Linked DNA regions of Lytechinus pictus. The protein of the gene in region 2 purifies or fractionates together with the protein of the main gene of each other region. This does not show direct contact. Links are inferred from orthologs where the notes say so. Each region holds a gene or a part of one and is shown on either strand. Other genes may lie near its edges. The genes, in order: ubiquitin-fold modifier 1 and CDK5 regulatory subunit-associated protein 3-like.

The links.
Region 1: the proteins of CDK5 regulatory subunit-associated protein 3-like (region 2) and ubiquitin-fold modifier 1 purify together in Homo sapiens (co-immunoprecipitation; 3 studies listed by BioGRID and IntAct, with this or other methods). This does not show direct contact. The link is inferred for Lytechinus pictus from reciprocal best matches to the Homo sapiens genes CDK5RAP3 and UFM1.

Annotation. Positions count from the first base shown.
Region 1 is NW_026974140.1:3,195,262-3,203,330, forward strand, and holds the start of ubiquitin-fold modifier 1, read right to left. Parts: upstream 3,037-8,069; 5' UTR 2,366-3,036; coding exon 2,361-2,365; intron 2,265-2,360; coding exon 2,208-2,264; intron 294-2,207; coding exon 236-293; intron 1-235. UniProt on the Homo sapiens protein: Ubiquitin-like modifier which can be covalently attached via an isopeptide bond to lysine residues of substrate proteins as a monomer or a lysine-linked polymer.
Region 2 is NC_087247.1:22,753,848-22,761,836, reverse strand, and holds the start of CDK5 regulatory subunit-associated protein 3-like, read right to left. Parts: upstream 3,261-7,989; 5' UTR 3,159-3,260; coding exon 3,120-3,158; intron 3,017-3,119; coding exon 2,941-3,016; intron 1-2,940. UniProt on the Homo sapiens protein: Substrate adapter of E3 ligase complexes mediating ufmylation, the covalent attachment of the ubiquitin-like modifier UFM1 to substrate proteins, and which is involved in various processes, such as ribosome recycling and reticulophagy (also called ER-phagy).

The DNA.
Region 1 (8,069 bases), on a different chromosome or scaffold from region 2:
CCACATGGCCTATGTGATTTGAAATTTACAGTTTTAGGGTCTTTAGAGATCTCAATTATGAAACAGTCATAACTTTCTTATTGCTTGTCCGATTTCTTTCAAACTTTCACCATTCTGTTTTTCCTATTTTTCTCCTCTCTCAGACAACATTTTATGACCAAGGTTGGATTCCCTTTTAAAGTAGATTTATAAATTCATCTATACTGAAAGTGACTAAGACAATCAAATCACATACCTCTTCAGCAGCAAACTTGAGTACAGCTGTAAATGGTGTTGCTTCTGGTACACTTAGTCTGCAGGAAAATAAAACAATTTCAAACTTTTAAATGTAATGGCCAGACTACAAATAAAAATTGACTTGAAATGGAAAATGAAACTGAAAATGTAAAAATATCATGGTGGTGTTTTATAAAGCTATTGATGACATTATTAATGACTGAGGATCTTGGGAACATTTCATGAAACAAATTAATGATTTTCACTGCCTTCTTTTCACAAGCTACTGAAAATACTTGCATCTGATTGGCTCACACCAAAATTTTCAGTGAAAGTGACTGACCAGATGCATCATCAGGGGGGGCGCATTGTGGTCTAGTGGTTACGACTCCCGTCTGTCAATCAGAGGGACATGGGTTTGAGTCCCAACCATGGTGTTTTCCTCTAGCAAGAAATTTACCCACACTGTGCTGCATTCGACCCAGGTGAGGTGAATGGCTACCCAGTAGGATTTATTCCTTGAATGCTTTAGCACCTGTATGGTGGCTCAGCTACAGCCGGGGTAATAATATGATACCAAGTATCAAGCGCCGTAGAGTATATGCAATTGTAGTACGGTAGCTGCGCTATATGGACCATATTATCATTATTATTATTCATGATACATTCCCATTTTCTTGTGCAAAAATTCTAACTTTATCTTTTGTTTTTGATTGATTGATGCATTGACATTGTTCATGAAATTATGTGACAAAGCAGGTAACTCTAACTTATAACAATTTCTTGACGACGAACGATCAAAGAACCTGGCCAGGCCTGACTGTGTGTTTGTCATAAAAATTTTGTATTTTCCAGCATATATTTCAAAAAGTTGTTAACCTGATTATATTAAAAAGTAGTCTTTCTTAATTCCTGTGCCCTTTCTTGCCCATTATAATAATTATTTACGTGAAATCAAACAGGGTGAGGTAGCTCACCCTACTATGCCTATGGGGAAAAGGGTGAGTGAGCTACCTCACCCAGTTTGATTTCACGTAGGGGGCCTAAATAATTATTCTCATGGGTGAGAAAGGGCGCAAGAAAATGTAACAGCACGATATCGAGGTCTTGAAATCCAAAATGGCAGATAGGCAAAAATCGTTGACTGCTGAAAACGATGTCCAATAATTAAACCCCCAAATTATCGATAAATTTCATTTGACCGTAAAATAATGCTAATAGGCCTAGGCCTAGGTACTAATAGTATGGTCAGTTCCCCCATGTCTGCGCGGTCTCCCAAGTCTGCGCACCCGCGTATCTGCGCGATTCTAGTAAAAGAAGATACGCAACGAGCATGAACTTTACACATGCAATACATAGACAGGTATTCATAAAAAAATCCGACTCAAAATGGTGAAAAAATAATGAATTCAGGGCATTTCATGTGACGGCCTCAAAATACAGCCTTTCTCATAAAAATCTCCGAATCGTGTGCAAAGTGAATGAGTGCGCAGACATGGGGTACCATTTTTTTTTTCAATCTGAAAATGATTGCCCAAGGTTTTTTCAAGAAAATCATATATTTTCTTTCATTTTTTAATGAGAAATTTGGTATACTTACTCTCAATAATATAAGGAACATTATTATCCAAAAGATTTTGTGAAATAAGAAGAAATTCATGTTAAATCTTAACTCAAATTGTTAGGTGCGCAGACTTAGGGCCCACCATCATAATAATGTGAAAGGTGAGGATTTATTCCACGAATCAGTGGAATATTTTCCCAAACTCTTAGAATATTTCTGGTATTTTCTGAACCATCCAATATAATATAATATTTATGCTGTTTGACCTGCACAATCGCATGCACTCATTCTATGAACAAGGTTTTGATTTAACCTTGTTCTCTGGAGTCTGGAGCCTGCACGAACTTCGCTCGAGGTAGCCTACATCACTATGACTATATGGGACAATGGTTACAAAAGATAACTGAACATACGGTATACTACTCACACTTTGAAGGGAAGTTTTGGATCCGAAGTGAGCGTTATCTTGAAAGTCACTTTCGACCTACAGAAAGAGATAACACGAAATTACGGAATAATCATTTCAATTATGTAAATTGATAAAGTGATGAACACAAATACGAAATAAACAAGAACTTACGCCATTCTAAAAGTCTCTGCAAAGTCTGCGCTGTGAAAGCTCTAGATCTGTATTATTTCTCAACGAACGTAGAGGGCAGTAATACACGGCATGCGTTTGACCACTCTGACGGCATGCAGTGTACTATGGAAGCTTAAAAGTGCCACCGAGATGTTGAGATAATTATCTTGGGAAGTCGACATCATGATAGCAAAAGATCAGATGGTGAGATCCCGGATCTCATCATGTCAACATCTTTTAGAAGAGATGATGAGATGACAAGATCCCGGATCTCATCGTGTCAACATCTTTTAGAAGAGATGATGAGATGACAAGATCCCGGATCTCATCATGTCAACGTCTTTTAGAAGAGATGATGAGATGACAAGATCCCGGATCTCATCATGTCAACATCTTTTAGAAGAGACGATAAGATGACAAGATCCCGGATATCGTCATGTCGACATCTTTCAGAAGAGATGATCAGTTGACAAGATCCCGGATCTCATCATGTCAACATCCTTTTGAAGAGATGATCAGATGTCAAGATCCCGGATCTCATCATGTCGACATTTTTTAGAAGAGATGATCAGATGACAAGATCTCGGATCTCATCATGTCGACATCTTGTAGAAGAGATGATCAGTTGACAAGATCCTACACCATTCATTGCGAACATAACGCGGCGCTAAATTATGGAACGCCAGGCTGGACACAATTCGTCACCAACAGTACATGGTACATCCGCCAATTGATGTGTCCAGATAGCGGAACATAGTGTGATTCACTGGCGTAAATCCGTGTTGATGGGTGGGGGGGATGACTGAAATATTTTGGCATTTTTTTGCAATCATGTTTTTAGATATGCAAGGAATTGTCATTGATATGTCCACAGTGGCGTACCGTGGGTCACGGCATTGGGGAGGGGGGCACCAGTAAAATTTTTGAATCACTAAGTGAGTGCGCGAAGCGCGCTAAGTTGCCAGTTATACTGACCTAATAGAGACATTTTAAGGACAATGTCATTAAACGGATATGTATCTCACTGATCAAATAATGCGAGCGCGAAGCGCGAGCTGAAATTTTTTATATTCACACCTAAAAAGGGACAATATAATCAAATTTGTGTAATCATGATAGGTACCTGTCTCGCTAAACAATGCGCGCGCGAAGCGCGAGCTGAAAACTTAGATAATTCAGACCTGAAGTGGGGCATTCTAAGGTTTCTTTGTAGGAATTAACTAGGACCATACGTATTTCATTAACCAAATGATGCGAGCGCGAAGCGCGAGCTGAAAATTTTTGATATTCATCTCAGAAGGGACATTTTAAGGACTGATTTTAGGAATTCATGAAGAGCAGACATATCTCACCAATCCACAAGTGCGAATGTAATCACGTACAGGAAATGTTTCATATATAAGAAGACCTTAACATGGGGCAATCACTTTTGAGTCATGAAGAAGAAGCATATGTCACTACATAAAACAATGATAACTCAAGTGCTAGGAATATATTTGGTTTATATTGACTTGAAAACGGGATGTTTTAGTACAACAGGATTATATATCTCGTTAAACAGACAATGCGAGCACCAGGAATAATAAAAAAAGACGTAGGCCCTGGGCAAATTATGTTTTATAAAGTTGTAATGTAACATAACATAATTATAATATAATATAACATTATAATGAATATTTTCTTCTTTCCCACTACGTTTCTCTTCATTTCTCCCTTTTTTCTCCTTTCCCCCTTTCCCCGTTTTTTTGTCAGCCGATGGGGGGGGGGGGGGGGATGTGCCCCCATGCCCCCCGTAGTTACGCCACTGTATGTCCATATGGCAAATACCCCTCCAATATTATTATCTTTTTTACCCCATGATGGTTTAATGGTTTTATTAGAGATTACATTCAAAATTTTTTGACATTCCATCGTAATCCCTTCCCAAAGACCCCAACATTGATGAATTGGAAGAAACAGGGATTTCTCTTAAATGTTATAATAAGGACAAAGGTATTTCGTTTGGAAATGGTGAAATGGCTCTTTATTTGCCTTTTATGATTCAATAATATTGTTTTATTTGTTAAGCGGTATTTTAGGAAGAATTTTCACCAGTAAAACAATTATCTCTTGTGATTTTTTTTTCATTTCTTTCGTAAAAAGTGGGGGGGGGGGATGTTTGTACAGGCCACCCCCCCCCCTCCTCGAAAAGTGAGGGGATATTTCCCCCCCCCCATCCCCCCGGGATTTACGCCAGTGGTGTGATTATATTATGGGGGCTACTAAAACATGTAAAAGATATATAAAACATAGTAGCCTAAAAGAGTGACCGTTTCAGACCCAAAACTGCCCCCAAAATTGCTGATAAACCCGACATTATCTGTTTTCAGGACAACCGTGAATTTCAGAGGAAGAGTGAAGAGTCACGGCCGAAAATTGCTGATTTTTTTTTTGCTTGCCAGAGAATTCTGACATGCAATAGACATTGTCATGCTTTCAGCACCCCAGGAAAAAAATTGGTCCCACATCCCTGCTGTGCACGTGTCATCTAACAGACCAATCAAAATTCACCAAATTGATTTTGTTTTCACAGTGTTTTGTGTTGAATTTGATATATTTGCATTGCTTTGAATAACTGGGATTATACCTTTTCATTTTTTTTGGTAAAAAAATACAAGGCTTTAAAAATCGGGAGAGGGACACTATATTGCTTAGATTTGCAACAATAACAATTTACACTGATCTTTGGTTAAAATTATACAAGTCAATCACATTAAACTCCTTTTTAGAGTCTGATTGAAATGACTTCCAGAGAATGCTGGAAAATGACAGAATAAAAAAATATTCAAAGTGATTAGGCTACTCGAAAACATCAACAAATCCCAGATGTTGGTTGCGTTTCCTGTTTCTTCTTCATCTTCTTAATTCTTCTTCTCCTCTTCCTTCATCTTGTTGTTGTTGTTCTTCTTCCTCTCTTTCATTTTTTTGGGGGGGTCTTCTAGATAAATGCGTGACGTTGGTCATTTGAATACAAGGAAAATTGGCCCATTAGTTTCAGTTGTTATGCGAGGGGCGTAGCGATCGACCGAGCGAAATAAAATCACATCAACATGTATAACACCTTGGACCAGTGATTTAGTTCCATGATAAGGGGGACAAGACTGGCAATGAGGAGGTCTGTGTTGTTACCCTCTCCAGGCGTTCAACTTCTTCATACGCGAGAAAGCGTAGCGAACGAGCAATTGCTTGACTAAATAACACTCAAGATAAACTATCCGTCAAGGGCCGGTATGAAATTGAATATTGAAAAAAAAAATCCCGATTAGGGTCCCGGTTTTAGGGTATCAAAACTACTGATCCTGTAGGGTGATTTAAAGTGATTTTTCCCATTTAGGGTAACAAAACTACCGCTCCTGATATCCCGTTTAGGGTGCTTTTCAAAAATGATTTTCGCCCATGCTGTATATAGTACACAGCTCCTCGTCATAATATTAAAGGTTACCAAAAATTTTCTGTAGAATCTGATTTTTTGTGCTATTTCCCCTATTTTGAGGGTGCTGAACATGAATCTGCTTGTTGCCAAATTTATAAATGCCATCTTCGACTGTTGCCATGGCAACGGATTAATTTCTCAAAAATAGCATGTATTCCCCTGTAAACGGTAGATAAACATGGCAAAATTACCCATTTGGTTAATTTCAAGTTTCTTATTCAATAAGAATAGAATTTACAAACATTTAAGGCCATTGAAATAGTTCAGATTTCCTGTTACCATGGTAACGGCCTCTTTTTACCCCCCAAAAAAGATAAAAATTAGTAAAGATGTAAAATATGATGAATTCTTTTGAATTTTCCCTAATGTGAGGGTGCTGAAAGTAGGTGCTTGTTGCTAAATATATTAATACCATCTTGCACCATTGCCATGGCAACCAAATAACACATAATTAGATAAACAAAAATAAAAAGATGGTTGGAAAAGATAATCGTTGAAAATCACTAAATTAGATATACATCTGTGAGTTTGACCCACTATTCAATTTTAAATGCAAAATAAGTATTCAGTATGACTTCAATGGTATGCTAAGATTGCTGTTGCCATGGTAACCAATGTTTCAACAATGAATACCAATGTTACATTGCCTGTTGCCATGGTAACTGTTTTTTATCAAAATAGAATAGATTTGAGAAAAATTGTAAAATAAACCTTTTTCACCGTATTTGAGTGTTGAACATGTATTATATACATGTATCTTCTTTGGATATTACCATGGCAACCAAATAACATCTAATTTGCTAAACAAATAGCAGAGTGTGAAAAGGTAATGTTGGAAAATGCAAGAAAAAGAACTTAACTTCCATGCATATGGTTTTAACATCTCATTTTACTTTGAACACAAATTAAGTTTTCTGCATGGGTTCATTGGAATGATAATAATTCATGATTCCATGGCAATCCCTGAATTAATTAGCGATAAATACCAATGCTAAATTGTATTTATAATCAAGAAAGGAATGTACTAGTATATTTCATGTCAGAAAGTAATATGCCACACAGGAAACATATTGTCTCCAAACAATACTCTCTCTCTCTCTGGAACATATATAGTGGTTGCTATGGTTACACCTCATTTTTTAATCATTTGAAATTGTTACTTTATGAAAAATTGAAAATAAATGCAAGGCATTTCATTTTTAAAACGGTGCAACATATTTTGAGAATCATTGAAAACACCAAAGGTGGACAAAATTGTACGCAAACTTCAATTTTTTTCGTTTCGAGATTTACAATTTCAAATAAATTTCCTTGTTGAACAGTTGTTCCTATAGCAACACAATTATGTTGATGTAGTATACAATCAGTAATAAACGTTTGTAGACAGTTAAAATAAACTTCAATAAATACTAATTTTGTCTTGTCAAAATTTTATTTAAGTGTTTTCCTTCCCAGATCAATTTGGTAGGCCAATCTGGGGCCTGTTTCATAAAAAGATAGGTCTACAACTATTCCAACTTTGTACCACTAACATGGTTAGCAGCCAATCACAATCAAGGTTATCATGATAGGTAAAATATTGGCAAAGTTAAAATAGTTATAACCCTTTATGAACAGGTCCCTGGTGGTGAGTGAGAGTATGATATTATGTATATTGCAAATATATTAATTTTGGGCAGTCCACAAGCTTTATGACAAAGATTATTGCAACATAAACCAGGGGGGTGGGTACTTGCAACCTTCTTTCTCAATCCATCCTTGAAATCCCTTTTCAATGACATGAAGCTTTTTATCCGTCAACATGGTCTGTCAGCTGGAAAACCTGGAAAACATAATTCAGGAATCATTATTAAAATTGCATGCCACTTTTACAGTCACCTATATAATACTGTTTAAAAATTGTCACAATACAAAATTAGTTTAAATTCATTAGTATTACTATTATTTACAGTTTACTTTGAACATAAGTAGCTTATTTCAGTACATAACTCAAATAAAATCCTTGGTTGTTTCCATAACTATGAACCCAGAAACACGTTGGCTTTCACTGAAATTGAAAAATTATCGCATAGTTTTGCAAGTCATTATTATATCTATTTTTTTATCTAATTCTGGTAATATGCATAAAGTGCTACTACTTTACTTACATGCATTTCAGCTCATCTGCAAACAAACATGACACTGTGATTGAAGATCCGTTATACTCGCTTCAACTTCCTCACTTGAGCCGCTGCACG
Region 2 (7,989 bases):
CAGAAAAATAATAAGATATTGTTGAGGGTTTGAGGAACATCAATCAAAGATTTAAAAAGTTATGAGAATTTTATTTCTTGATTTGTGATGTCATATGCGAGCATGTTTCTACATGTGTATAGAGTGAATTTAAAAATCAATTAAATATCATTTTCTAAAAAAAAGATTTTTTTTTTTTTTTTTAAGTCTACTTTAATTTATAAACAGACAAATTATCATTTCACAACAGTTCCTGAAAGAAAAAAATTAATCTTCAAGAACCATTAAAAAATTGAATTTATAAATTTTACATTAGATCTACATGATCTACATAAGGGAAACTGCTCGTATATGATGTTACAAATCAAAAACTAGAAATTCTATTGACTTTTTTATCTTTAGGCCTCATGCATTTTCCTCAAACTTTCATCAATACTTTTGGAAAGAGTTCCTTTTGCGATAGCCACACTAACTAATATTTTTTCACTTTGGGAGGATGTCGCAAAAGGAACCCTTCCCATACTTTTTTTCCTGGTATTTTCAAGCAAAACTTTTCAGCAGGGTGAATTTCCAAGATCAAGTCATTCATTGAGAACTTCATTCTTTTGAAATATGGACAGTCAGAGGACAGAGAGAGGCACTTTTCAATGTCAGTCAGCATTGAAAATAGACGGTAGCGACAAGCGATTTCGCTCTCGCATGCTTTTGAAATCATTCTTGCCACTGCCTAAAACTGCCAAGTATGGAGCGACTCCCAACATGAAAATTGCTCCCGTCCGCACCCATCCAAGTCTCCCATCCACGCCTGCATAGTAGCCAGAAAGCCAGGCCAGCACAGCTGCAGTTTTTATGCATTGTCGCTTTCTGACGTGTAACTGAGTGGACTTTTTAGAATCACGGGGTCGGCGCTTCAGAAAATGCGTATCCAGTTCACCGACACTCCGATATCTCCGGGTAGTATTTTTCACAACGCTACGTGGCACCTGTCTTGCCATAATTTGATGGTGAATAAGTTGCTTTTTATTGTTTTTGAAGATACCATCCTAAATTTGCTAGAAAATAAAGTTTGTGAACTCTGAACAAAATCACAGATTTTTTTATCTTAGCATATTTTTTGGTGACCCCACTTTTTAAATCTGAACTAAGCCATCGGGTGCTCTGGAAATATGGCGCGGATCCTGTAATTTAAAATTAAATATAAATCATCATTAACAGTCAATAACAATGAAGAAAAGTAAATGTCAATTAAATAAACAATGTTAAACATTAAATGAATTTGTAAACAAGCAGGACAAACTGCGATGGTAAACCATGCGTTGAATCATGAAAAAAAGAATGGCTCTCAAAAACTGAAAATGGCTCCAGTAAAATGAACAAGTGGAATGCCTCTGGCCGTCTCACCTGCATCACGCGATTCAATATAGCAGCAGTGCTGATTTTGAAAACTACTATAACTCGCACAAGATGTTCAGTGATACTTGGTTACTCGTATTTCCATGTTTTATGAACTAGACCAATACACTTATAGAGATATGATGGCAATTCAACAAATACCCCCAACGTGGCCAAAGTTCTTTGACCTTACATGACCTTTGACCTTGATCATATGACCTGAAACTCGCACAGGATGTTCAGTGATACTTGATTACTCTTATGTCCAAGTTTTATGAACTAGACCAACACACTTTCAAATTTATGGCTGTAATTCAACAAATACCCCAATTTGGCCAAAGTTCATTGACCCTAAATGACCTTTGACCTTGATCATGTGACCTGAAACTTGCACAGGATGTTCAGTAATACTTGATTACTATTATGTCCAAGTTTCATGAATCAGATCCATAAACTTTCAAAGTTATGATGGTAATTCAACAGATACCCCCAATTCGGCCAAAGTTCATTGACCCTAAATGACCTTTGACCTTGGTCATGTGACGTGAAACTCATGCAGGATGTTCAGTGATACTTGATTAAATTTATGTATAAGTTTCATGAACTAGGTCCGTATATTTTCTAAGTTATGATGACATTTCAAAAACTTAACCTTAGGTTAAGATTTTGATGTTGATTCCCCCAATATGGTCTAAGTTCATTGACCCTAAATGACCTTTGACCTTAATCATGTGACATGAAACTCAGGCAGGATGTTCAGTAATACTTGATTAACCTTATGGCCAAGTTTCATGAACTAGGTCCATATACTTTCTAAGTTATGCTGTCATTTCAAAAACTTAACCTCAGGTTAAGATTTGGTGTTGACGCCGCCGCCGCCGTCGCCGTCGGAAAAGCGGCGCCTATAGTCTCACTCTGCTATGCAGGCGAGACAAAAATGACTCTCAAATTTTTTTCAATATGGGCAATGGCTCCCTAAATCTTCAACGCTGATGTCAGAATAGACCAAAAGCTTCGGTTTCTGTTACGTTGGTTGTTCCGAAGTAAGCCACTGTTTTTTCCCCTTTTAAGTTTATTTTTTCCTGTTTTGGTGCATTTCAGGCCAAAACGGAATAATAATCTTTATTTTGGACAAGTTCTTTTTATACATTTTTATGAAATAAAGACAAAAATTGATGAGCCCCGACAGGCGGATTTTGCATTGTTAACCCCCTTATGGTGGCCCACGATAGTGAGCCGTCTGTATACAAGGAGAAATATAAAAAAAATAATGTTAAAAAACTCCTCGAAACAGACGGCTGCCATGCCAGCTGTTTAATATTAAAATAGTAAATAGGCCTACCAAATGACTGTCTATTTTATGTCAGCAGTATCTTAGTCAGCAGGGTCAGTGTCAAAGTCTTTTATATATGGTAAGAATAAGGTAACTATAGCCTTGCAACGGTTGTATACCATCCTAATCACAATATGAAATATATTTAAGAGACTTGTTTTAGATATCGTTTTAAATATTCAAGAGACTTGTTTTATCCCACACCACAGAAATGCACACATGGGACTGATACATACCAAGTAGTTTAGTGGAGCTGATATCTATCGGGAGATTTTCGATTTGTTGGGCCGTCAACTCTCCATTCTTTGTTCCCTGCATAGAAAATTATAACCAAGTGATTAGTGACTTTGTTTACATAGAATAAATTCTAAGACACGAGCAATAAAGGTACAATTACAAACATTTTTATATTCACCTGCATTTTGTCGCATATGTCGAGTTGCCCCGGCCCCATAGAGATGTATACTAACTACGCTAGAGTGCGGAGTCGCCATAGGCGCGCGTACTTAACGTCTGTGATTGTGTGGAGCGTGGCGGCCATTGCTCGATAGGTATAGATTCGCAAAAGTACCCGGATGTACCCATAGCTCGTGCGTTGTAACGCTGTGAAAAGGGGTGCCGTCTCCGGCCTTTAATCTTGAAGAAAAGAACACAACCTCATAAAAATCGAAAATATGAATGACAAATTGCATCTCAATACACTATTAGAGTGATTACATGGGGATTATGCTATTAATTTGGCATTTTAAAAACCTGATTTCTCGGGATGAAATTCTAAATAATTTGCATTTACCTGTCCGTTTATAGGCCTGTAATAGATAACAATGTTGATATACTATCATATAAACAATCATATAAAAATAAAAACATACAGCGGACATTAATAGAAAGATTGACAATTAATTCAAAAGACTGCAGTGAATTAGCCCTTCTCTGGATTTCCCTACCTTTAACTGCATCGTCCTCCTTCCATCCTTCCCACATATACGTCCTTTGATTCTATGTTTATGTTGGATATAATTTTGTAATTTCTATATAGGCCTACATGATATGTAACTTGCTTTAATTTGTATGAAATATAGGCCTATCATTTTTATATATTAAGTTGTACAATAATTCTGTATAAGTTAGTGTTTTGATCTACAAGCGCTATTAAAGGGCATCTCATTATTGTTCTTGGTGAGCCTCCCGTTACACCATCAATGTTGAAATTTGTGTTATTTGGTGAACGTGCTGATTTTGTTCTTATAGGAACATAATAAATTCTCCAAAATCTGCAGGCCTATATGGCCCGAAAATAAAATATTGATTTAAAATGTCGAGAATATAGCCTAATTTGTTCAAACTTTTCAAAAATGACAGTTTTAATTCCCTTCACTTTAAGTTAGATTTGTTTTAATTCGCTTTTTAGGGGCCGTGTGTGCAATTAAAATAACAAACACACCTAAGCAAATTCGCTTTAACATACTGATCAAAATAAAATACAGGGGGCGCGACCGGACCCCTCCCTGAAATGAAAATGAACATTACACATAATAAATGATTGTGATTTTATACACCCCATCACTTTCAAAATCATTCCGCGACGCCGTAACATAATATAATAATTTTGTTCATCCATGGAAATCTTATTTTAAAAAAACTGATCGAATAACCAAACTCAGGTCCATAGGCCAGCAAATGACATTAAAGGGAGAAAACTAGAAAATCAAATTCAGTTATACTTTTAAAATGAAAAACAAAACTGGATATTCAAAACGCGTGTTTATCTGTTTATATGTTAGGCCGGTGCCAGTGCTTACAAATATTTGCCATAAAGTTCATTTATTTAAGCGACACAGACACAGTTAATTAACACAATTTCAAGGCAGGTATCAAATTTGAGATTAAATTAGGATTTTTAATATCTTATTCCAAGTATTGTCACTTTTGCAATATTATTGTTTCATAATTATGTTTGTTTTTAGTACTCACAATTTTGCAACCGTTTTCATAATTATGATAAGTTTGCATTGATGTCTTTCATGATATTAGTTTTATACACTCTTGCAGTAGTAATAATATTCTTTATAGTATAATACAAATTATATATCATAATCCCGCCCCTTTTCTTCTCTCCTTCTCCCCCTTCTTCCTCTCCTTATTATTCTATCCTTGATTTGTTCACATGATATTGGTCCAATCATTATAGGATCAGAAACAACGGTGATAAACAAAATATTTCAGCCAGTTTGCCGATCAGCATATTTTCAGCCGGGGAGAATCAAGTCTATACTTTCCAGAAAATCAAAGTAAAATTGTTTTGCGCATTGTGATTTGTTTACTCTCCGAAGTTTTAAAATGTTTGCAAGGCAATAACACTGTACATAAACATCCAACCCCCCATTAGGCCTCCTGTACATTGCAAAATTGTACGACTGCATGCGCGCATTTGATATGCAAATTTTGCTGTCAACAAACTTTTCTATACATTGATCGCAAGTAAGAAAGTATACTTTTATATACATATTTATAAATATGATGGGATGGTTGCCAGCAAAGGAAATCTAAATCATCAATTTTTAACTGAATCAATGCGTAAATCATCTCCAAATATCAATAAAAAGTCATTTTATGATTCGCGAGTTTTTGTGATGTTGGTTTACATCAGCGTGTAAGACATGGGGAAAAGGGATCGAGTTATTATAGGCCCTATTGTGTAGATATATATGGAAAATGAATTATAACAATTATCTAAAGTGAAGAAATAAATTATCAGCAATCAGCATAATAGTAATTAGGAAACTATGAACTATAAAAATACAATCGTGGTTTTTTTTTCGATACAGCGTCTCAGATGCATCAGACACTGTGATATGGCCTATGAATTTTCTTAGGTTAATGTACATCAAATCATATTAAAACACATTAAATTTATTTATCAGGACCTAGGCCTAAATGTTATTTTTGATATTCATCTCTTCCAAATCATTAGAAAATAGAAGTCATATTAATGTATCGAAATTTTACCTAAGCAAAAACAATTGGGACTTTAAATCGTTTGCCTGTATTATAGCTGTATCGGCCTATATTATGCGCTATAGATAGGCCTATATAGGCCTTTTGACCTCAGTTTTGCTAGATTTTTGTTGTATTTGAACTTTAATCCAGTGCAATATTTACAATTTTGCTTTTCCATATGCTTTCGTGCTCATATGTCATCAATTTGTCATGTTCTGTGCTCATCCGTGTACATGCCCCATAGGTACTGTACGCGCATGGCAGGCTGCGAATACCTATCGAGCAATGGCGGACGGTCTCCACGTAATCACAGCGATTTGACGAAGTACGCCCTCTAGCGTTACTAATATACATCTCTATGAGTTGCCCCTTGTCGTCGAGATTACTACGGTATGGTATCGCGGAATAACAAAAACGGATCGATTTGAAGGGGATGGGGGCATAGAGGTATGAGGCGCCGAATGTACCATTATTATATAGAACAATTATTTGTTATATAATCATTATTTATTAAATAATAACTATTATTTATATATAATTTACATTTTATTTGTAAATAACTACTATTATATAAAATATCATTTCTAATTATTTATATATAATTCCAAGTAATACTTCATTATTTGTAAATAATATTAGTTCGACATTCCATTATTTATAAATAATGATTATTTGTTTTTCATTATTTATAAATAATGATTATTTGTTTTTCATTATTTATAAATAATGATTATTTGTTTTTCATTATTTACAAATAATGATTATTTGTTTTTCATTATTTATAAATAATGATTATTTGTTAAATAATGAAAACGTCTACTTCATTATTTATAAATAATTTTTTCGAGTGCACCATTATTCTCATTATTTATAAATAATCATTATTTAATGTTCGAGTTTTCCATTATTTATAAATAAAGATTATTTGTTAAATAATGAAATATCTACTTCATTATTTATAAATAATAATTTTGTTTCAATATCCCATTATTTATAAATAATCATTATTTATAAACAATTTTTACAGTTTGCCATTATATACAAATAATCATTATTTATATACAAATAACCATTATTTATTAAATAATGCCATTATTTATTAAATAATGCCATTATTTATTAAATAATGCCATTATTTATTAAATAATGGAAAACTCGCTATAACATGCAAATGTGGGACCGCCCATGATATGAATATTCATGATGCGATTTCCTTTTTCGTGATTTTTCTTCACAAATTTTTGTCCATTTCCTCTTCATAATGACATTTCTTGAAGCAATTTTCTAGGGATATGGTCTGATTGTAATATTCTTCATTTTCTATATAACTTCGTCTTCGTAGAAATATCAAAAAGTGTAATTTTATACGATTTTTCCTACAGTTCACAATCCCCATAGGCGCGCGTGTACGGTAGGGACAACCGGTGAATCGACGGAGTGCTCTTCATCGAAATACTACGTTGGTTGGTCCCCGGAAGTGGCGGGCGGAATTTAGCCCGAATCCTCGATGGAAGTCGATCAAGTGCATATGAGCTGAGAGAGTGAAATATCAGTGTACTTGTACAGGCCCTTCTACTTTTTATAAATATTTCTTGTTGCTTTTTTTGTTAAGTTAATTTTTCCTGGTGTAGAGATAAGTTTCAGTTCTAATAATGCACTTCAAATACATTTTGGAGTGTCTGTTTGAGGCGTTTGGGGCGATTTCACCCTGGCCCCAAAATGCTCGCAACGACAATACGGGGGCATGATGACCCCTAAATTTTTAAAAACTTATTTTTCTATTGAAAATTATCACAAAATTCACCAAAAGTGTGCACGAAAGCCTTCGTATTTCACTTTTAAAACTCCGAAAAGTGCCCAAATGACAAGCTTGGTCGCTTCGCTGTGTCGCTTTCAACTTGAGAACGTTTACGCGTCTGCTCCCCCCCCCTCCTCCGAAAGAAATTCTGTATACGGCCATGCTCTAAAGAGCCTGGCACATTGATTTATGTATACTTTCATTTTCATTATTTTTATCTCATTATCAACATGGCCTTACGCAGAATTTTTTCCGGGGGGGGGGGGGGGTGGGAGGAGCAGGACGCGCGTAAAGTTTCTCAAAAAAATCTTGAAAGCGAGACAGCGACGCGACCAAGCTCAAATGACAAGCTTGGTCGCTTCGCTTTCTCAAGATTTTTATGAGAAAGTTTACGCGCGTCCTGCTCCTCCCACCCCCCCCCCGGAAAAAATTCTGCGTAAGGCCATGATGATAATGAGATAAAAATAATGAAAATGAAGTATACATA